7 separate regions of the Mus musculus genome follow, and regions 1, 3, 4, 5, 6 and 7 are each reported to be linked to region 2. Evidence: microRNA targets listed by miRTarBase, many of them from high-throughput screens and not tested one by one. Region 2 holds a microRNA gene; each other region holds the end of a gene's coding sequence.

Evidence for each region. Region 2 holds the annotated microRNA mmu-miR-1192 (AAACAAACAAACAGACCAAAUU, at 1,749-1,770, shown strand). A microRNA usually pairs through its seed, bases 2 to 8, with sites in the 3' UTR of a target mRNA and lowers its output. Matches are read on the target gene's strand: a 7mer-m8 pairs with bases 2 to 8, a 7mer-A1 pairs with bases 2 to 7 and ends in A, and an 8mer does both.
Region 1: the mRNA of Scmh1 is a reported target of mmu-miR-1192. Seed matches in the 3' UTR shown: 7mer-m8 at 1,965-1,971.
Region 3: the mRNA of Cul5 is a reported target of mmu-miR-1192. Seed matches in the 3' UTR shown: 7mer-m8 at 2,319-2,325 and 7mer-m8 at 2,315-2,321.
Region 4: miRTarBase lists Cmtr2 as a target of mmu-miR-1192. Seed matches in the 3' UTR shown: 7mer-A1 at 1,455-1,461.
Region 5: miRTarBase lists Pex13 as a target of mmu-miR-1192. Seed matches in the 3' UTR shown: 7mer-m8 at 851-857, 7mer-m8 at 847-853, 7mer-m8 at 843-849, 7mer-m8 at 839-845, 7mer-m8 at 835-841 and 7mer-m8 at 831-837.
Region 6: miRTarBase lists Ubtd2 as a target of mmu-miR-1192. Seed matches in the 3' UTR shown: 7mer-m8 at 622-628, 7mer-m8 at 618-624, 7mer-m8 at 614-620 and 7mer-m8 at 610-616.
Region 7: the mRNA of Preb is a reported target of mmu-miR-1192. The part of its 3' UTR that is shown has no 7-base or 8-base seed match.

Annotation. Positions count from the first base shown.
Region 1 is chr4:120,529,031-120,532,125 of GRCm38, reverse strand. It overlaps Scmh1 (sex comb on midleg homolog 1), which reads right to left. Exons shown (of 18, transcript NM_001379185.1): 18 at 1,926-2,992. The coding sequence ends at 2,867. It also overlaps a transcript of Slfnl1 not described here. Among named protein-coding and RNA genes, the nearest start is that of Slfnl1, 1.7 kb to the left of the region's middle.
Region 2 is chr19:23,147,702-23,150,796 of GRCm38, forward strand. It overlaps Mir1192 (microRNA 1192), which reads left to right and starts at 1,730; the gene lies at 1,730-1,850. The region is part of intron 1 of Klf9 (Kruppel-like factor 9); the gene reads left to right.
Region 3 is chr9:53,615,083-53,618,082 of GRCm38, forward strand. It overlaps Cul5 (cullin 5), which reads right to left. Exons shown (of 19, transcript NM_027807.4): 19 at 1-2,928. The coding sequence ends at 2,734. Among named protein-coding and RNA genes, the nearest start is that of Acat1, 6.2 kb to the left of the region's middle.
Region 4 is chr8:110,222,919-110,226,013 of GRCm38, forward strand. Cmtr2 (cap methyltransferase 2) reads left to right here. Exons shown (of 2, transcript NM_146215.4): 2 at 1-1,571. The coding sequence ends at 445. Among named protein-coding and RNA genes, the nearest start is that of Cmtr2, 6.5 kb to the left of the region's middle.
Region 5 is chr11:23,646,571-23,649,665 of GRCm38, forward strand. It overlaps Pex13 (peroxisomal biogenesis factor 13), which reads right to left. Exons shown (of 4, transcript NM_023651.5): 4 at 713-3,020. The coding sequence ends at 2,722. Among named protein-coding and RNA genes, the nearest start is that of 0610010F05Rik, 14 kb to the left of the region's middle.
Region 6 is chr11:32,516,002-32,519,096 of GRCm38, reverse strand. It overlaps Ubtd2 (ubiquitin domain containing 2), which reads right to left. Exons shown (of 3, transcript NM_173784.4): 3 at 388-3,007. The coding sequence ends at 2,610. Among named protein-coding and RNA genes, the nearest start is that of Efcab9, 10 kb to the left of the region's middle.
Region 7 is chr5:30,953,127-30,956,221 of GRCm38, forward strand. Preb (prolactin regulatory element binding) reads right to left here. Exons shown (of 9, transcript NM_016703.3): 8 at 2,804-2,963; 9 at 1-2,611. The coding sequence ends at 2,517. It also overlaps the pseudogene Abhd1. Among named protein-coding and RNA genes, the nearest start is that of Preb, 5.7 kb to the right of the region's middle.

The DNA of each region.
Region 1 (3,095 bases), not on the chromosome of region 2:
TGAGTGAGACAGACTTCAACAACCATCATGTCTGGTAGATAATGTAAGCAGACACAGCAGCTCGATCGATACACACCTTGCCCATGGGGCCCTTGGAGTAAAATCTAGAACTGTGGACCTGAAGACACTTCTTCCCTCTACACCACCTCTCCAGCCTTCGGTGCATACACAAGCCACCACTTACCATCTCCTTTGGCTCTGCAGTCTAAAGTCTCCACTTCCTTCCTTCGTCCCCAATTCCCACTGACCACTGACCAGACCTAGCTGCTCCCAGGATGAACCAAAAAGTACATGGTGTGGTCCAGGGCTCCCCTGATACAAGGTTTCTCTATGTGTCAAACACAGATATTTCTAGTTATTGCTATCTAGAAGGAACTAAAAGTCAGCTAGCCATCTTGAGGGACAGAGCTATCTGCTGCTTGAGTGACATGCAGCCTCTGACAATGTGGCAGCTAGTTCCTTGAGGGCAAGTCTTAGCTTACAAAAGGACTTTTTATCATTATTTGGAAACTGATTTATGCCGGGCAGTGGCGGTGCACGCCTTTAATCCCAGCACTTGGGAGGCAGAGGCAGGTGGATTTCTGAGTTCGAGGTCAGCCTGGTCTACAGAGTGAGTTCCAGGACAGCCAGGGCTACACAGAGAAACCCTGTCTCGAAAAACCAAACAAATGAATGAGTGGATGAAAGAAAGGGAAGGGAAGGGAAGGGGGAAGGGGGAAAAGGGGGAAAAGGGGGGAAAGGGGGAAAAGGGGGAAAAGGGGGGAGAGGGGGGAGAGGGGGGAGAGGGGGAAAAGGGGGGAAAGGGGGAAAAGGGGGGAGAGGGGGAGAGGGGGGAGAGGGGGGAGAGGGGGAAAAGGGGGAAAAGGGGGAAGGGGGAAGGAGAAGGAAAGGAAAGGAAAGGAAAGGAAAGGAAAGGAAAGGAAAGGAAAGGAAAGGAAAGGAAAGGGAAAGGAAAGGAAAGGAAAGGAAAGGAAAGAAGGAAGGAAAAAGAACCCTGATTTATTACTGTGTATGATATGGGGGAGGGAGTACAGAGGACAACTCTGGAGTTGGCTCTCTCCTTCCTACCTCTGAATTTTGGGGATCAAACACTTTTTACTGACCAAGTCACCTTGTTGGCTCCCAGATAAATACTTCATCACACACTTCCCTCCTCTACTTCTAGTGACCCTGATTACTGGGAACAAGGGGGAGGGAGACCACAGTGACTGACTGGTTCAATCAAGTAGCTGTTTGCCTTCCTGAGGGCAGCCATTTTGAAGGCATGCCTGAGCCTTTGTTGCACGTAGGGTTGGAGGCAGAAGCTTGGGCAGGGAACTGCAGGGAAGTAAAAAGGCAATAGTGTGCAGGTCAGGAAGAGGCCTAGCTCCACAGGGTGGCCGGATGAGGCTCTCTGAAGACTTGGCCATGCCTGTTCCCGTCGGCCCCACAACTCTCACTCCCACAGCAGCAGTGTAGCTTGGTGGCTCCCTGGCTGTTATCTCAGGCTGTTGTGTCCTACACTGGCTCCAGTCAGCCTTCTTCACCTCCTGTAAACCTGCTCCCACTGTAAGCCAATAGGCTGCATGATCCTTGCTCAGTACAGTGGGTACCATGAAGGCTGTCTGTATTGCCTCTTCTCACCCCACGAGGAGGAGGGAAAGCAGCCTACTGAGGCTCTGGAGTTGCTATCTCTTGGATTGCTTCTTGGCTTGATGGAACTATAGTACAAATGATTGTCAACCTGACAGTGAAGCAACTGGGAGAAAGCCTGGGGCCTGCACGATGCTGAGTGCTGTGGGCACTTGGACAGTAGCCTGTTCTTTGGGACTGTGAGGCAAGAGTTCCTAGGGATGATCCGGCTCAGGCTCCTTGTTTTACATGTGAAAGAACCAAGATGAAGTGAAGGGGTAACCTGCTTGTTGAGTGATTTGGATATCAACTGGTTAAAAAGACACGGGCATTTGTATTGGTTTTTATTTATAAACAAACGGACACAAAATAGTTCAGATGGCAGTGGGGGCAGCAGTGCTGCTGACTTGCTTAGGAGGAAAGCACAGGAGCTAGCAGAGGGCAGAACTCCTCCAGCCTTGAGGTCCTCCTCCCACCATTGGGGCCCCGTGACCTAATTGCATTAGGCCCCATCTTTTGCAGCAATTCTGACCAGGGCAGGGAGCTGTGGGGGCAGGGAGAGGGGAAACTCCATCAGAGATGAAGACTGGGGCTACAAAGGACCCAGTGTAGGAAGAGAGACCCTCACCTTTTGCTCAGTGAGCCAAATACTTTGTCCATTCCAGAGAAGAAGTGCCCTAGGGCAGTGTCTTCTGAAATAGGCCACACTTCTCTGGAGAGGCCCTCTCTGGACCAGAGGATGGTCTCCCTCTTCCAAAAAACTGTTTGGTGCAAGAGAAGCATTAAGTCCAAACGCCAGAAGCAATAAATTAGCAATAAGAAAGGATCTCTTTAAAAAAGGTCTGCACCATAAGTTCAGAGTCTGGGGATCCAGTGAGAAGGCATGAGCTGGGGGCCTTGGGACACTATGCCAAGCCCAGGAGGTGGCAAGGGGCCTGGGTACCAGGGCCTTTCAAGGTCCTAGGGCTGGCGTCTTCCTCATCTCTTGAAAGGTGCTCGTCTAAACTTGTGGAGAGAGGCTGGCTAGCCTTGAGAAATAAATAGAAGGGCCTGGGAGCCACAGCAGGCTAAGGGGAAGAGCAGCACCAGCCCCGGGCCCACTGTTCCCTCCTCAGTCCTTCATGGAAGGACACATCAGGGCAGGAAGGGTAGCAGTGGTGGCTTTCCAGCCTCCTAGAGTCCTGAGGTCACCCAGAGCCCTACTAAGGTGCCTGGGAGCTGGCGGGCGGCTTCCTGGGAGAAGAGTGCCTCCTGTTCAGAACTTGCCCTGCTTCAGCCGGTCAATGTGAAAGGAGAGCTTGAGGGCGGGCCCCAGCTTCAGGCCCATGTACTTCATCATCATGTCACTGCGCAGCAGGAGCAGGGCCTTGCCATCGATTTCCTGGGGGTGGGGAAGAGCAACCATCAGAGGTCTGCTTGGTCGAAGACCGTCCAGAGCAGTGTTAGGCACACAGTGCAGTCAGGCTGCTGGGATCCTGAAGCTT
Region 2 (3,095 bases):
TTGAATCTGTGATTAAGGAGGTTTTATTTATATTGTTGGTTTAGAGCTGTGCCGGATGGATGCTGATGCCGCTTAGATGAGTTAATCAGGTATAGGGGCTTGGGGGAGTGGCCCAGCCTCTTCCTCTCGTGCCCAGCCAACCTCAGTTCCTGAAGCAGCTCCAGGCCAAGCTCAGAGTCCTTGCTTTTTCCTTCCTGGAAGGCCAAGAGTTAGTATTTGTCTTGCCTCCTCAGTAAGTGTAGGACTAGCAGTGATATTGGGAGAATGGCGTCCTCCACCAGAGTAGGGAGGAACCCAAATTTTTTTTTTTTTTTTTAATTTCTTGGGTCTTTCTCCACATTCATTCCCACTTGTTCCTAAACACACACGTTTGTGAGGTGTGTCTTCAAGCCTCTTTTTGTCTTAGCTGCACACTTCCCAGGTGCTCGGGGCTTTGGAAGCCTGTGGTAAGAGCTGAGAATCTGGACCTGGGATCCAAAGGTTTCCACTCCATCATCCCAGGCCAGAGCTGCTGGGTCTTTGCGTGAATGAAAGTGTTTTCTGGGGTTGGGGGATGGAACCTGGGCCTCCTGAGTGCTGCTAGCACTGTGTCTTGGGCCCCTGAAATTTATTGATTTATTTTTTGTTTGTTTGTTTTTCGAGACAGGGTTTCTCTGTGTAGCCCTGGCTGTCCTGGAACTCACTCTGTAGACCAGGCTGGCCTCGAACTCAGAAATCCGCCTGCCTCTGCCTCCCAAGTGCTGGGATTAAAGGCATGTGCCAACACTGCAGATCATTGTGGCTCAGAACAATGGGAGAAAGGTTGGGGGACTTCAGCACCTGCCCTTTACAGGGGATCAGCTCTGCTAAGATCACAGTTAGTGACGACAAGGCCCTGGCCCATCAGAATAGTGAGTGACTTCTCAGGAGCTCTAGCTAAGGCAAGGGGCTTCCAGAAGAGCCTTTACCTTCACCATAGAAACAGAGGTACCGTGATGGGAGCATGCACCTGCCCAGGCCTAACCTAACCCTGACTCCATAACTCTCATCACAAAGACTCAAGCAAAGCTTTTATCTCCCTGAAACCTCAGGTTTCTCACCTGTCAAATGGGGTTCCATAATTATATATATTCATGAAATTATGAGGCCACGTTCAGATGAGTCATTTAAAAGATTATGCATGCCAACCTTTTGCTGAGGATTACTACAATTAAAAAATATATATTTTACATACATATCCCAGACACCTTTGAGAGCCTTAGAATTTTTGTTTAGAATTCTAGGTGGACTCAGGATGGTGCTGAGCAATGGTGACAAGTGAAAGGTGTGTTAGATGGCGACAGCCATTGAGACTTAGTGAGCACTATCGTCCTGAACATGTAGTATGTCTCAGAGCCTGAGCTAAGTGGCTTACGTGCATTTCACTTGAATGTTAATCCCATAAGACCGAATAGAAGTGTGTTGCTTTTCTTGTTTAAACAGGAGGAATCAGACTCGTCCAAGGTTATGCTGAGATATTCCTACTGTTGTTTCAAGGTCTAAGTTGTACGTGAGGGCTGTTGAGTGGCTTGCTCCCAGTGAGAAGAGATTCTGTATTTATTCTTATGGCTCTTTTGGGTTTGGCCCTAGAGCCACCATCTTAAGCTGTCTTCCTTGTGCCCCAGGTCTGATGTGAAGATAGTTTTCATGAGTTTTAGTTAGGAAAGTCAACAAAAATAACTGCTCCTGACCTTGTCACCCGAAACTATTTCCTTCCAAACAGTAAAAACAAACAAACAAACAGACCAAATTTGTCATTGTTGTTTCGATTTGCTCTTTTTGTTTGTTTGCTTTTGTGTTTTGAGACAGGGTCTGGCTTGTATAGCTCATGCCAGCCTGCAACTCTATGGTCTAGGCTGTCTTTCTGCCTCAGCTTCCAGACTGCTGAGATGACAGGCCAGTGCTGCCACACCTGCCAGGGGCTGGGTTTGGGATCCATAAATAGGTTGCAAGCAAGAAAGTCCAGACTTGGACTTGCTCTGAGCTGGGCGTTGTGTCTCTCACCTATAATCCCAACACTTGATAGGCTTAGGCAGCAGACAACTGCCACGTGTTAGAGGGCACACTAGGCTACTTAGCAAAACTTAAAAAAAGATTAAAAATGGAGATCCAAGTTCAGGAGTTGCTGAATGCAGATGGACATTCAGTGCCCCCTCTCTCTATGGCTTTGCCACCCTCTTGCTGGCTCTGGCTTCATTCATGAGCAGGCTGTCTCTGAATGGTACTAAAATGGCTGCCAAGCAACACCAGACTCACTTCCTGCCAATTCAGCAAAGCCCCACAGAAAGACTACTTCCCATTCCTAATGATTCCAGCAAACAACCCAGGCTGAAAGCCACGGCTAAGCTTAAGTGGTGTGTCCCTTATGAAAACAGACTTATTTATCCAAGACTCTCAGGTCTGAAGGTGTGGGCTCAGAGAAAGGACTGGCTGCAAAGGGAAGCAAGGTGCACTGTTCCTTACCAGTAGAGGAAGATAGAGGCCAGACAAGGCGAATCAAACACCGATGTCCACTTAGGCTTGCAAATAGGCTGTGCCAAAGAGCAGCATTTATTTTCTCTGCTCTCCTGAGCTTAGCAGAAAAGATAGGCTCTGAGCGAATGGACAGAAAGGACCTGGCAGAGTACAGATAATTTCAACATATTTTACAAGTGCTCATGCACTCACAGGCCCCCCTGAGGAGATGATTGGGGAACCAAGACCAAACAAATGCTTCACATGGGACAAGTTTTATAAGCAGCCGTGTGATCTTCAGGGTTTTCACATCATCTATTCCAGTGCTCTGAGGGATGAAATGAATCACATTTACGTGAGCATTTATTATCCCAGGTGTTACTTAATAGAGAAGGTCTCTGTAAAGATGAGCCATTTATGTAGTGGTTCCTATCGAGATTCCAAAGTCCTTTCAATGTGCACCGTACTCAACAGAAACACCACAGTAAATACAGGAAACAGAAAATAGAGCTTACACACACACACACACACACACACACACGCCCCAAAGTGACTTAAATTCCTGGGCTGCCGTAATTCCGTTGTAGTTGTTGTATCATTACAGTTTCAAAGACAGTAGCAGA
Region 3 (3,000 bases), not on the chromosome of region 2:
GAAGAGTTAAAAAAAATAAGAATGATTAACAGTTCACCTTTTCGGAGACTTTAATATTTCTGCACAAAGAGTGAGAGCTTTCAGTGAGCACGCTGGTAAACTCAGGGATCCCTTCCAAGAACTGTGAAAGTCGGAGACTTCAGAATTTGATTGAGGATCCTTATAAATTATTAGACTGATGACGGCCTCACATTTGTCTAACTGCGCGTCCAGGAGTCTCCCCTTTCCACTGCATGCATCTGTTCCCTGTCTCCTTACTCTGGCCGTGAGTTGGTGACAGGTTAGCATTTACAGATGGCGCCACCTTAGGTAGACAGAAGTGCTCAAATCTGAGCCTGCGGTACCGTTCACTTAACAATGCCTCCCAGTGTGAGTGGGAGCTGGCCTCTCCTTCCCTCCCTGTGCATGTCTGGCCCTGCTCAGATAGCAAGACTATGAAGTCTGCAGGGAGAGAGAGGGGCGCTGTCAGTGGTTCTGGATCTTCAGATAAATTATCAAATCTATTCATAAAACATTTAAAGAAAATCCCAACAATGGTATAGGCACCTTGTCAACTAAATAGTTTTGATAAACACCAAAAAGTAGTTACACTCTTATATATATATTTTTAAAAAAGGATGAAACTGTTAAGTCTGTGGTATTTACTGCTGCTCATTCCCCAAAATACAATTAGGACATAATTAACTATTAAAAAATTTATAAAAATTTAATAAAAAACTTTGCTATGGATTTAGTGTTACCCACTTTGCATTAAGTTTGCCTTTATAAATCAAAACATCACAGCTCTCATTCTTAAATGACCAAAGCGATTAGAAATTTCAAAGATGTTCTAAAGAAAATGATGGTTTAAAATGACAAATCTTTTTTGTCATTTTAAATGGCCTAAAATTTTTCCCTTGATTGTTTCCTCCTTTGGCATTCTGGTATTGGGACAGGAAAATTTGCCAACACCAAGCTATTGAACAGTCATGATAAAACTATCCCTCTAAATTCCGGATGTTCCATCCTCCACGTGGTAGAGCAGCAGGGACTGAGTTTGCGCTGCACACCTGCTTTAGCCATCACCTCAGAGCTGCAGGGCACAGCAAGCACACATGCACTTCCAACTTCCTATGAGTTTCACAACAGATATATGACTATAATTATCAAAGCCTTAAACATCTAACATATACTTTACTTCTTTCCAGCAAGGAGACCCCAGCTGCTGAGCAGCAGGGCAGATCCACAGCCCTCTGTGGTAATAGGATAGATAATACTGTATGCTTCTCAACACTCCATCTTCTGCTAGCTTCAGAACCAATACTTCAAAATACTACTTAACATCAAAAGTTCTAAAATTTGCAAGAAAACTCGAAACGTGCACCACAATGAGTAAAATCCACAGGGAGCCATTTTTCCTGCTGGGGAATAATTCTCTTCAGTTGCTTGAGTCCTCAATCTCTAAGTTTCCACTGCTCTGTAAAGTCCTGAGTCACTGCTCTGGATCACTGAGAGGAGCAAGGTAGGTGTTGCCCTCTGAACATTTTAAAAATGTTTATTTTTAAAATATATAAATATATGTACATATTTGGCAAGGTTACTGCTCATGTTAAGACTAACAACTTTGAGTGCTTTTCAGGTTGCAGGTTGTAATCTCACCTTTCTTCCTGCTAAGTGGCAGGTAATTATTACTTTTAAATAGAGAATGTCTTTCCAGAAAACTGAGGTGGTAAATCCCTAATCACAACACTTTCAATCACCAAATAATTCTATGCTACAGGTTAAGAAAGCAATTCTCTCACTGCACTGCATCAGAATATTTCTGCATTGTTTTCAACAAATTCAGGTACAGTATAATAAATATTAGACGTATGAGAATTGAGTGTATTAGTAACACACTTAATTTTTGCTTCAAGATTCTGATTATGCAATCAATAATGTACGTATACCCACACATTTTTTAACTGAAGCAACATTCATTATAAACTTCATGTTTTCAAAACAAGCTCTCCAGCCGTACAAGGTTTAAAAGAAAAATCCCAAATCTTTATCATTTAACAACAAATAACTAAACAGAACTCTCCTGCTCATTGAAAATCAGGATTTATAAGGTAGAAATATTTAATACCATTTCAGGTTACCATTAAGATCCAGTCACTAAAGTGAAAGCAGTGTTTGACAAACAACTTGACACTGGCACACGTGTCTTCTCAAGTGTGCCTGCCCTTGCCCAGCACAGTGTTGACGATTCATTCTTTGCATCAGAAGTAGCTTAGTGCTACGTCTAGCTTTAATTTCATAAAAAAAAAAAAAAAAAAAGAATTTAAAAAACCCAAACAAACAAACAAAAATCCCCAGCATTTTTCAGTGCATGAATATCTGAAAATCCTTCCTTGTGCAAGTATATTTCTTTGAAGAAGAAAAGGGGATAAAAGAAGCAAAAAGAACCCCACCCTCACCCTTCCGACATGTTATTTCTCTAGGTGGGTAAAAATTGAATTGACTTTGAAAGTTCACAATGGGCTCTTCATGAATGCAATTTTCTCCACAAAACAGCATGCTGTTAAAGAGTGTGCAACATGAAGGGAATGCCATCATGCTAACTAATGTGACTGGCAAAATAGAGTCGTTTTGTAAGGTAAGGCAGAGTTTAATATTTATGTAATCAAAGTCCAAATAAAGCTTCCTCCAGCTGGGGCTGGGACAGCCTCTGCCCAGGCCTTCAGGGGCGTGTGTGCGGCAGCAGCGGCCCGGCTAGGCCATGTAGATGAAGGTGTTGATGTCGGCCTCGTCCCTCCGGATGTACCTGTGTTCAATCAGCCACTCCATCTGCTCCTTTATCATCTTCTTCTGAGGCAGGAACATGTTTTTCAGAATTTCTACTAATTCAGTCTGCAGCTGGGCATTGCTAATTTTCTTTCTCATTTTCATTATTTGTATGATGGCTTCCTAAGAGAAAAATGAAAATGAAAGTACATTAATACATTCAATTAATTTGAGCAAAGCAAACCAGTAACTTTT
Region 4 (3,095 bases), not on the chromosome of region 2:
CTACCAGCATTTGTTCTTGGACTGCCTGCTGCACTCACTGAGGCGGCTTCACAGGGGAGATGTGATGGTCTTGCCCATCCTTTCTTGCTTCACGAGGTTTATGGCTGGCCTGACCTTCGTCCTCCACGGCTGTTTTAGATTTATCACGTTCTCTTGTCCCACGTCCCTGGAGCCCCTCAGGACCTGTGCCGTCTTGCTGTGCATTGGTTATCAGAACCTTCCAGATGCAGTTTTCCAGTTTCTACAGAATGTTCATGACCTCTTGAGCAAGCTGCTGCACCCCAGTGCCCCTCGGCAGATTTTACAGTTCCTACCAATGGAGGCGCTCCTTCAGGGGACGCTGCTTGACTTTTTGTGGGATTTGAACGCTGCCATTGCTAAAAGGCATCTGCATTTGATTATTCAAGGAGAGCGAGACCAAGCCATCGGCAGCCTTGAGTTATAAAATTGAGCACGGCATTGATGACGTGCAGCCGTTTTGTGACTTACAGTTTCCGATTTCATTTTACCTGCCCTATTTATTTAATACTTTTCATTTTGGAGAGACACCAATTTGTGTATTAAAGGACATTAATTGTGGAAAGTTGTGGCTTGTTCTGATGTGAAGGATATATGACTCATAGGCACAGAGTTTTTGTGGTAGGAGCCGTGTACTGATGGTATTTAGCCCCTAATCATGTGACATCTGTATGTGTTCGAGTGGCTACACGCTTGCTTGCATATACAGTTGAGTCAGTCTTATCTGCTGCAGACTTACACCCTGTGCCTTCATTCAGACTTTTTCCCCAACTGATTCCTCTCTTAGGCTGATGCTTTTAATGATTGTTAGAGGTTATTTATTCATGACAGGAAGTGAGTCACTCTCTGGCTTCACTATTTACCTGGAAGCACTTGGCATGTCTGTGGACTTCAGGGATCTTTATTCCAGATTGTTTGATATGTGCCATTGCCTTTTGATTGGTGGCTTCATTTTCTTTGAATTGAAATGAAATACAGATTTTTTTTTTGTATGACTTTTGCTAGCTATAACTACTTCAACTAATAAGAAAGAACAGCTTTAAGCCAAAACCAAAGGTCATTTTTGTACAGTGAAAAACTGTGTCTAGTACTCCTTTGTCACGAAACACTTCCTTCAGCAATGTTGGCATTTTTAAGGAAAGATGGTTTTAAGGCTTGGTGTGCAGTCTCCTGTGGGTTACACCGGAGTGTGATGGTTGTGGCGAAATGTAACCCAGAATGATGGCTAAACAAACTTTGTATCTTTATTGGTTTTGTTTTTTAGTATGAAAATAGCACCTTACTGAGATTATCCATGAGATAGACATTTTTATCAATTTCATTGAGAAATATGTATTTAATAAATAATGAACTTTTCTACCAAGGTGTTAATTTGTCATTATTTTGAAATTTTATAAGGTACATAATTAGACCTCATATAAATTTTTAGGTATTTCTTTGTTACTTAAAAAAAAAAATAGAAGTATTCTATCATGTATCCAATTAACAAATAGTTCATGCTCTGCTATTTCTGAGTTCCATTACAAGCCACAAATAAAGTCTTCAGCAGGTGTGTTTTGTGTTTGTTTCATTAAAAGATAATCATAGTAGAAGTTTATAAGTTGGAAACTTCCAAAGGAAGGTTGATTGGGAATTAATGTTTCATTTCCTTTCATTTGCATTCATGAGAATGTACTCCTTCAATGTTCTATTCATGGGAAATCTTCAGGAGAGAATTTGTACATGTCAGGGGCTGGGCTAGGGGGGTATGGTCCGGTGGTGAAAGTCTGAGGTGGTTTCTCTCTGAAGGAACTTCCTTTCCTACCAGTGACTTGATGAGGGTGGGTCTGGTTAGTTGCAGTCTACCAGGAGAGAAACTACTCTTGCTGCCTTGTTAGTAATAATGGATTGGGTTTTGTTTGTTTGTTTGTTTGTTTTTTTTAACTTATTTAACCCATTTAACTAGGATATAGATAAACATTTGAGTTTAGGACAAAGTGAAACTTGCTTTTGTGTGTGTGTGTGTGTGTGTGTGTGTGTGTGTGTATACGTACATATGTGTTAGTATGTACATGTACTTTGAGGTCCTGGAGGCCAGAAGACTGTGGGTCTCTTGGACCTGGAGTTGTAGGTGGTTGTAAGCCACTTGATGTGCCTTCTGGGAACTAACTTCCAGTCCTCTGCAAGAACAGCAAATGCTCTTAACTTCTGAGTCCCCAAAACTTACTTTCTAAGACCATCAAAGATTGAATTTTTCAAAATACTAATCTGTATTGCAATATAGAACATTTGAACATGCTTAAACAGTCTATCATTTTTAGCATGATATGGGGGAGTTGAAGGAAAATGTCTTCCATAGGCTCTGGCATTGAGCACTTAATTCCCAGTAGTGGCGCTGTCTGGGGAGGTCTAGGAGATTTGGCCTTACTGGAGAAAGGGCCTCACTGAGGGGCGGGCTTTCAAGTTATAAAAATGTGCCATTCCCAACATGCCCTCTGCTTCTTGCTTGCCATAAACATGAGCTCTCAGCATGAGGCACCAACCCATGCTTCCTGCTGTGACGGGTCACTATAAAAGGAGCTGCTTGGCCCCTCCTCACTCTCTTTAAGCTCTCACCTCTTTTTCTCCTCTCTAGCCCTCCTCCTCTCTCTCCCTTCCCTCCTCTCTCCACATGGCCATGGCCAGCCTTTCTCTTTCTACCTTCTCTCTTCCCCCTGCCTTTCTACAATAAAGCTCTAAAACCATAGACTGTCTCTGCTCATCAAGGCCCACTGTGCTTGAACGATGGGATAAGCTTTCCGCTAAGGAGCTGTCTAACCTCCTGCTGGAAGACCTTCCTGCATTCCAGCCACGGACCAAACCCAGGTCTCTCGCCCTTGTGACAATCCTTTCGTGTCCATCACCCAGTGCACTGGAACTCTGGCGGGATGCGGGCCCTTGCCCACTCCCTTTATTCCCCCACGCTCACTGACCCACATCTGGTCCTTTTATCTGGCTGTGCTATCAGGTAACTGTGGGGAGGAGCATACCTGGCTATAGTCAGGTAGCTCGGGGGTGGGGGTGTGGGGGTGGAGTCTAGACAGAAGCTTGGGACATTG
Region 5 (3,095 bases), not on the chromosome of region 2:
AGTGTTACAAACCAAAGAAAATCACATACCATTAATAACTCACTTATCACATTTAGAACATGACATCTATTTGTTAGAAGAGTTCTTTGGTTCTTCTTATAAACACCCCTTTACCACTTAATGCGTTTTAACTAACAGTACATGTGAACACTAAAAGAAACACTCTTCTTGTTATTAGCAGAGAGAGGAACATGCATGCATTCACATTGTACTGTGCTTTGTGTGGAGTATATGTTATGGTTCTGTTGCAGCTATAATCTTAAAAAAAGAAATTAAGTTTCAAATATTTTTAATTCTCCAGTAAAGTATTTTCACAACCTATTAAAAATACAAATTTAACTGTATTTCATTTCTTTTTCCAGTAAAGACAGCATAAAATAAAGAGCCGCTGCACTCAGGTAAATGAATAATTGGCTAAGACTTGAGTAAGATGTAGAACATGAAAATGCATTTATAGTCCTTTAATCTTTTTCTTCCCAAGCTGACAAAATACAATTAAAGCTTCTGATATCTAGTTTCTTACTGTAGCTTATGAATTATTTAATTGAAAGTGTAGTTTCCTGTGATGTAATGCTACTTCAGGAAGTCCCTAAAATTATATTGGAGCTGTGACCAATCTATTCATTTACTCTAAACCACAAAACTTTCTGCCACTCTAGTCCTACAACTGTTTTTCTAAGACTTTAATAAAGAATGGACACAGGCCGAGCGGTGGTGGCGCATGCCTTTAATCCCAGCACTTGGGAGGCAGATTTCTGAGTTCGAAGCCAGTCTGGTCTACAAAGTGAGTTCCAGGACAGCCAGGCCTATACAGAGAAACCCTGTCTTGAAACAAACAAACAAACAAACAAACAAACAAATAAAAAAGAATGGACACAGGTAGTTATTAGGTTAATACTATATAATCTAGCATAGACAGCCAAACAATAAAGACCCTAAAAGAAAGTTTTATCATTTATTTGTCTAAGCTCTTTCCTATACAACTGAAATATTAGTCACAAATCCTATTTTAAAGCTCATCTTCTAAAACAAAACAACACCCCAAACCTAAATAGTGCTGACTCAACATTTTATTTCTACTTTACTCCTAGTGCTTAGTCTAGATGTCTGGAGTAACATTTAGACATGAGAAAAGTTCAGGCATCTCAAGTCAGAAGTAAATATTTGTTAAAACCTTTGAGAGTCAGGGCCATGCCTCAGTGGTAGATTATTCAACCCCCTTTCTCAACTGAAAAGTTACTACTGAATGTCAGAAAAATCAGCCTAAAAGATAAATGAGTACCGTAAATGCTTCTCTCTATCTTAAGATGAAAAGATACATTACTTATTATATTGTCATTTCAAAAAAGGGCTTCCTAGGAAGTCTTTAGTGCTTCTGTTCTGAGCAGATATTGGGTTAGACATGGTTTAATATGAACTCCTCCAGAATTATTTATTTGATAAACCTATCTATATGAAAGAAGCAAAACCCAAATCACTTTTTATCAAAACCCACAGCTGTTAGTAGTGTCTATAAATGAATTCTGTGATTTATTTCTGACAGTTCTAATCTGTAGTATATTCACAGCAAGCGTATAAAGCTTCCAATTCTATGGGGAAACACATAAAATTCACTATTAAGCAAAAAAAAACAACCAAACAAAAAGTCATCGTATTTGAAATAGCAAGCAAATTATAGTCTCAGTAGTGAAAACCACAAGAAATCTATCCAATGTGACAGACATATTTCAGTTACCTTGGGTTTTTTTGGTCCTTTTGTTATTTTGTGTTTTTCTTTCCAGAGCTGAGGACCGAACCCAGGGCCTTGCAAGCAAGCGCTCTACCACTGAGCTAAATCCCCAACCCCGACAGACATATTTCAAATATTTAATGTATAACCTGATTTTGGAATTTACAAAAGTAATTATCTTATATAGAAGCAGAAAATTCAGGATTAAAAATCATTACTGCCAGAATTGATTATATCATTAAGTATAATCTTAAAGGACTCCTGCCTTAGTTGGAGGAAAAGAACAAAAATCCATATATTGTGACTCGCTCAGGATGAGATCTAGCTATATATTGTGACTCGCTCAGGATGAGATCTGTGACACTGTAAGGAGGTTAAGAAGCTGTCAGTCAGAACCATCTTCTTCACAGTGCTCCAGTGACCTCTTAAGAACACACTTTTATAAATACAATAAAAGATAATACTATCAATTATTTGCTGGTAAAAACACATCACCTAAAGTAAATTCAACACTGGACATAATACAGATGAGAAAATTTTTATTATTTAGTTTATTTATAAGGTTAAAAAAATTAGCCTTTTGTCTGTTCTTATAAGTAGATGTTATCACTCAATTTTTGAAGACTTCAAGTCAACTAACTCAGAACTTTAAGAAGCGTTAATGATCCCTTCTGAGGCAGCTTGTGTGTTCTACTGTTCATCAAATTTACTGTTCCAATAAGCCTAGGGACTGAGATAAGATGGAGCTGACAACTATCTCCATAATCTTAAAAACTAGGTGAAACAAATGTCCTCGTGGTCCACAAGACAGTCAAGTGTAGACAGATCACTTGACTAGCAGCTAGCGTGTGACTACATAACTTCTAGCAGCAGAACACTCGGCACAGCCACGAGCAAATGCTTTCATTCAACTGCAAATTAATTTCTCTGTAAGAAATGATTTTTTAAAATACTCTAAAATATTGTTCACCTGCCCACAAACATGAAACACATCAAAGATCTTGTTTGTCTCCATTTTTCCCTGTAGAATCAGGTGCACTGGAAACCTTATTAGTTTCAACAAAAACAGATTCAAAGGCAGCTTCCTGTTCATCCAAAGGATTGGTGGTAGTGACTCCTTTAATTAATGTTGGGTTGGTAAAAGACTGTTGTTGCTTGAGCATTGTACTCGATTCTATTGTTTTTCTGCCTCTTCTTTTACCAAGAATTTTGACATAATTTGCAGGTATAAGTCCTGTTGTTTGACCGTCAAGACTAGCCAGAAGCCAACCACGCACTTTGGGTTGTTGTTCTGAAGAAAGAGAAAGACAGCTTTTAAGTACATTTTGGAATCCAACAGAATATTAATGATAATGTATGTTAAGCA
Region 6 (3,095 bases), not on the chromosome of region 2:
AAAATTAGCACAATACACACAAAGTAAGATATATACACCATTGTTTGAGTATGTGAATGCAGAGGCCAGAGATGACACTGGGTGTCATTCCTCTCAAGGCGGGTCGCTCACTGAAACTGGAGCTCCCCAGTTTGGCCCAACTGGCTGAGTGTTGGAATCCAGTGTTGCCTTGGCAGCACAGCAAGTAGTAGCGACTGAGCCATGGTGAACCTATTTTAGACCAAGGCAGCAGTGCTGGTGAGGCACACCTCTAAGTGACCTGCAGTATGTGGTGGAGCAGAGCTTAGGTTTGGTGGTCACTACCGGTTTTAGAGAGAACACTTCACACTTTCCTATAGGATGCAGGAAACTGTCGCTGTATAGAGAAATAATGGCAAAGACAAAGAGAAAAGTTGAATTTTTTTTTTTAAAAAAAGCACAAAACCCCTACATACTAAAATGATACACATCAAGTATTGATCCAATCTTACATCGACCTATTGACAATTACCAGCACCATGTTTTTTTCTCACCTAGGTTATTAACCTATTGACAATTTCCAGCACCTAGGTTTTTTTCTCACCATGCCTGGAGGATTGTTATTCAAAGTATATGTTCCTTTAAAATTTAAACAAACAAACAAACAAACAAAAACCAAAAGACCCCACAAATCTCTTAGGACAAACCCTCAAGAAACAAGACCTTTTAACAATCAGGTTATTCATGACACCATCAAATTTCCTTTAGAAAAATAATAGGTTTAACCACTTTTCCAACTGACGGACTTTGAGATACTGTTATTCAATATGACAAATGAACCAACCTTCTTGATGGTGGGAGGGAGATGCACTGGAATACCCTAGAGCCTCCACATGGAAATGTGGGCATCCTTGGTTGCTAAAGCTGTGTGTGCACTTCTGAATTTAGATCAGTCACCACCAAATCTAAATTAGATACAATCACAAACTAAATGATGAACAGAATTAGGGAAATGGTTAAAGTTCTCAGAAATGTAAGTTATAATTATAGATATATTTAAACAGGCTATAAGAAATTTAATACTTAAAAATTACATTTTAAACTGCTTAGAGGTTTCATTCTGCCACTAAAATTATGAATGGCATTTTATATCCGAATAGGAGGTTTGGTATTTCCTGACTGAGAAAAGCACAGACCCTTCTTTCATCTACTGTTCACATCTCACAAACTTTCAGAGACAGTGTGGTCACATGATAGTCCCCTTCTCAGGGAACCAACTTTTTTTTTTAAGACACAGTCTCACTAAGTAGCTCTGGCTGGCCTAGAACTAGCTGTGTATTCCAGGCTGGTCTCAAATTCTGAGATCTGCCTCTTTCTACCTCTCAAGGCCCAGGATTAAAGGCAGGTACAACATGCCTGGCAAAAACAGCTTTTAAAAGGCTCCAGATTAAATATAACCCTTGGCAGCTTTCTCCAGAGAAGGTGAGCCTGATTTACTATGTTCAGTCCCTTAGCCCAGTGTGCAGATGGAGGTTAATTCACCTTTGTTGGGAAGGTGTGGGAGGAACCCTGCCACCACAGTGACTGGAGTCAGAGTTAAGTGAAAGCACTCCAGTCTGAGCCAGGCGCTACCATCTGTTCCCACCAATGCAGTTTAAATGACACTAGTTAGCTATCACACACGAACATTTTGAATTGGAATTTTCTCCAAGGCTTAGAATAGGCACAGTTTTCCCAGGAACAGGCAGAGAGGGTTTTACTCACATTCCCTGCAGGCAGGAAGGAGAAGATTGCTTTTCATTCTGGACTGGAAGCAGCTATACTCCATTTCTGTCTTGCCTGGCCCAGGAATATATAGGCGGGGCCAGGAAGCTACAGAAATGGTCACGCAGAGCATCAGGGTCAGCAAAGACATCACATAGTAGCTAGCTGTCAAGCCTGGGTCCACAGATATGTTAAGATTACTATGAAGCAAGACTAGAAACTTCTCAACTGAGAATACAAGCTCTAACTACTTACTAACGTGCTGCTCAGGGCGCCAGAGGGTGCCCGCTGCCAGCATGACGGCCACAGGACTGAGTGCATGTCAACAGGGAGCAGAACTTGGTGGGAGGGGAAGGAACACTGACAACTCCCAGTCTCACTGCCTCCTGGTGGGTAGGACTACAAACCCAGAAGAGAAGCAAAACTCTATGCTCTTTTAGGTTCCACTTTAAAAGAAAAAAAAGATTAGGTTTTGTAACTGTTATTGATGGTTCTGGAAAAAAAAAAATTTGACATGTATGTCATAAAAATTCTGTGTCCAAAAGGTGCTTGGTGCTGTTTTTGATGGGTCTGGTGTCTGTTTACATTCGAGATCATTTAAATACAGCCATTACACAGTTGATAAATGTTTTAAAATAAATGGTTATCTATTTCTTAACTGTCTTTCAAATTAGAAATTGTAATTATAAGAGTATCAGAGGCTGGCTCTGTGTGTTTTATTATTTTTGTTGGTCTCCATCACAGATGGAATTTTTCACTGGTAATTCCTCAGAACTAAATCCATTCATAGGGAATTCAGAGCAGTGAAAATAAATTTCACGCCTTAAGAGTAAGAAATGGTAACAATAAAAAGGAGCCACGGGATCTTGGAAGAAGGCAAGTCCAGCTCAGTTCTCCACTGGTGTTGGGGTTTGCACAGGCTGGCTCACTATAACCTGCACCACATAGTCCTTGGGGATCTTCAGCTCCTCCAGCTTCATCTTATCCGTGAGAGGCCTGCCAGAGAAGAACCAGCGCTGGCTGCCTGGCTCCACGCCCTCTGTGGCGTGTAAGCGCCTCTTCATGTGAAACACTGTGTCTGTGCTGCGGACCACGAGCCTGAGGTCTTTGCCTGTGGAGAGCCGCAGGCGGAGCTGAGATTCGTGTCCAGAATTGGGAGGTGGCTCAGGAATATCAAGAGTCTCTATGTCACTCTTTTCCTCTATCATGTTGATTGGTGGTGCCAGGCAATAGACTGGCAGCTGGTACCGGTTCCCCAGCTCATCGTAGCACTCTGTCAGTGCACCTGCAGAGAGAGGGGACAGGGACAGTTTCAGTGAGTGTGCTTCTCTCTACTCAGTGCTGTCAGCTTTATCTCTCTCATCAGAAACTCC
Region 7 (3,095 bases), not on the chromosome of region 2:
AGCATGAGCCTATATGTATGGAAAGGCTCTCTACTTGCACCCACACAAGGTTAATAGTCCAATCTAGCTGGTCACCTTGCTGTTTTATATGAAGCGTGCCTTCAAGTGATACCCATGACAAACAGCAGAGCTTGTGGGCGAGTCAGAGGGTAGAGCTTTGACATGCAGAAGTGCAACTCCTAATAACATCTTTGTGTTGCAATCTCTAAACCCCAGTGAAGTCCTCCAGACCCCAGATGGAGGCCAGTTCCTTCTAGACTGGGCCGAGCAGCCTAACAGCACTCACTACCCGGACCCTACCACCCAGCCCATAGTACTGCTGCTTCCAGGCATCAGCGGCAGTAGCCAGGAGCCGTACATCTTACACCTAGTTAACCAAGCTCTGAAGGATGGCTATAGGTAAGGACAGGGTACAGAACTTGGGAAGGGCAAAAGTACATCTGACCCTGATATGGTACTCTCTGACAGGGGCCTTTCTGAAGACTATCAAGGGGAGGGTCTTCTTGGGAGGGCTTGGCTCACACTCCTATCTTGCCCCAGGGCTGTTGTATTTAATAACCGAGGATGCCGAGGGGAAGAGCTGCTGGTGAGTACCCTCCTCCTTTGTGGTGGCCCTGTCCCTGTTCCCTTTAGAGACCACTGGCCCTAGGGCTCTACCTACTTACCAACCCCCTACCCTTCCTGAGCCCTTCCGCTTGGCTGTCTTCTGGCAAGAGCCTCCCTCCCTAGTCAATGACCCGCTTTGCCCTCAGACTCACAGGGCTTACTGTGCCAGCAATACTGAAGACCTAGAAACAGTTGTGAAGCACATAAAACGTCGCTACTCCCAAGCTCCACTGCTGGCTGTGGGCATCTCTTTTGGAGGGTAATAGTTGCCTGGGTTTGTTCATCTTGTCTTTTTCTCCTCTTCTGTCCCAGTGTTCCCATGCCAACACTTTCCATGGCCCTGCATCCAATTTTACAGGATACTGGTGCTTAACTATCTGGCACAGACTGGGAAGGCTGGAGGCTTGGTCGCAGGACTGACCATTGTCTGCATGTTGGGATTCCTTTGAGACCGTTGACTCCTTGGAGACCCCACTCAACTCACTGCTCTTCAATCAGCCACTCACTGCTGGACTCTGCCGGCTTGTGGCCAGGTAGGATAGCAGATGGCAGGCTCTGCCAGTGCTTGGGTCCATTCCAATCTGGGCTTTCTTGAGGAGGTAAGAAGACAGAAGCTGTGAGCTCTGGGTTAGGTGCAGGAGTTCAGACAAACCCTGATGTATTCTTTTCCAGGAACCGAAAGCCAATTGAAAAGGTGTTGGATGTAGACTTTGCGATAAAGGTATCTTTCGATCACCCTCTCACCCCAGTGTTGGTCTCCTACGTTCTAATATTATAGCCTACCATGCCTCTACCACACAGGCCCGCACGATCCGCCAGCTGGATGAGCGCTACACATCTGTGGCTTTTGGGTATAAAGACTGTGCGGCTTATTACCAAGCCGCAAGCCCAAGAACCAAGGTAGATGCCATCCACACCCCTGTTCTCTGCCTCAATGCAGCAGATGACCCCTTCTCCCCAGTCCATGGTGAGTGCCTGCAACGAGGTCCTGATCCCACAGCTACTGAGCCATAGATGAGGGTTGAGGTATGAGCCTGGGTTCTCATTCCCGGACAGCTTTCTGACCTCCTGACTCCCTTCTAGCCTTCCCTCTGCAGGCTGCCCAGAAGTCTCCCTATGTGGCCCTGCTCATCACAGCTCGGGGTGGCCACATTGGCTTCCTGGAAGGGCTGATGCCCTGGCAACACTGTTACATGAACCGCGTACTACATCAGTATGCCCGAGCCATCTTCCAGCACTCAGTGGGGCTACCTGACCTGGGAGTACTCACTCCTGAAGATGGAAAGAGCTGACAAGAGGACTGCTGGGCTCTCGGTTCAATTGTTCTCTCTTTATTAAATATCAACTCTTCCTGCCTAACGAGCTGAGGTTCCCTTTCCTCAGGCTGCAGTAGACCCTCCAGGAACTCACTATGTGTCTGGACTGACTGGCTTGGTGCTACCCACAGAAGGCCACAGATCACCGCTACCGGGGTCCTCTTTGTGCCTCTTCCTACCCTAACAGCAAGTGCCAGCACAGGCTCTGTCTCAACAAAGCCAAGGCCCTTGTGTGAAGGCTGGAGGGGAGGAGGAGAAACAGTTTCTGTAGGAAGGATGGCAATGTCTCCAGGCTCTTGGGCATCTTCACATGCTTCTAGAAAAGGAAGAGCTGAGCTCTGGAGCCCTGGGAGGGAGGCTGAGGGAACGAGGCAGGCACTGTGGCCTGAGCTTCAGACCACAATGTCTTAAGTGGATCCACAGGTGAAGGCAAGAGCTCCCAAGACCCAGAGTGATCGAGAGGCCACCGCCAAGTGTGAGCTGAGGGACAAGCAGTACCCATCAGTTTCATCAGATGCAGCTTCAGCCGTGGGGCTCAGTGATTCTGCTCTGGAAGGCGGCACTGTCCAAGGCTGATTCCCATCGCTCTAGAGGTTAGAGAAATCCCGGGAAGGCAGTCTGGAGCAGCAGGATGGTCACAATAATAAGGCCGACACACAGCAGGAGCAGAAGCCATACAGGAACACTCCCTGTGGGTAGGGCAAGGGAAGAAATGAGTGGGCAAAGATGCTTTGGAACTTGAAAACCAGAACCTTTAACCTCTTTCATTCAAGGAGGGGCAGGTAGATGGATAAAAACAGTCCATTTTCCAGGGGCCAATTTTTGCTATAGCTAAAGTGGTACCCTCCCTGCCAACACACACACACACAACAATGACTCACGCCGTGAAGGCAGCAGGTGCAACTGGCAACGACTATCCACAGCCACAGAGAAAAGAGCAGTTTCATGGGGCCCAAGGAGCTTTGGACCACAACCCTTCTCAGGTAGAAAGGTCACATCTGTTACCACAATGCCATGGGCCTCCTTCACATAATACAGGCGCTGGGGGAGAAAGCAGTGAGGAAAGCCTAGTTGGAAGCTACCTTCGGGGAAACACGCTCCACAGTCCTAACAGGCTTCCCCTGTGGACTGGGCCAGATCCTTCTTGTGTCATCAGGGCAGACAGAGTAAGCT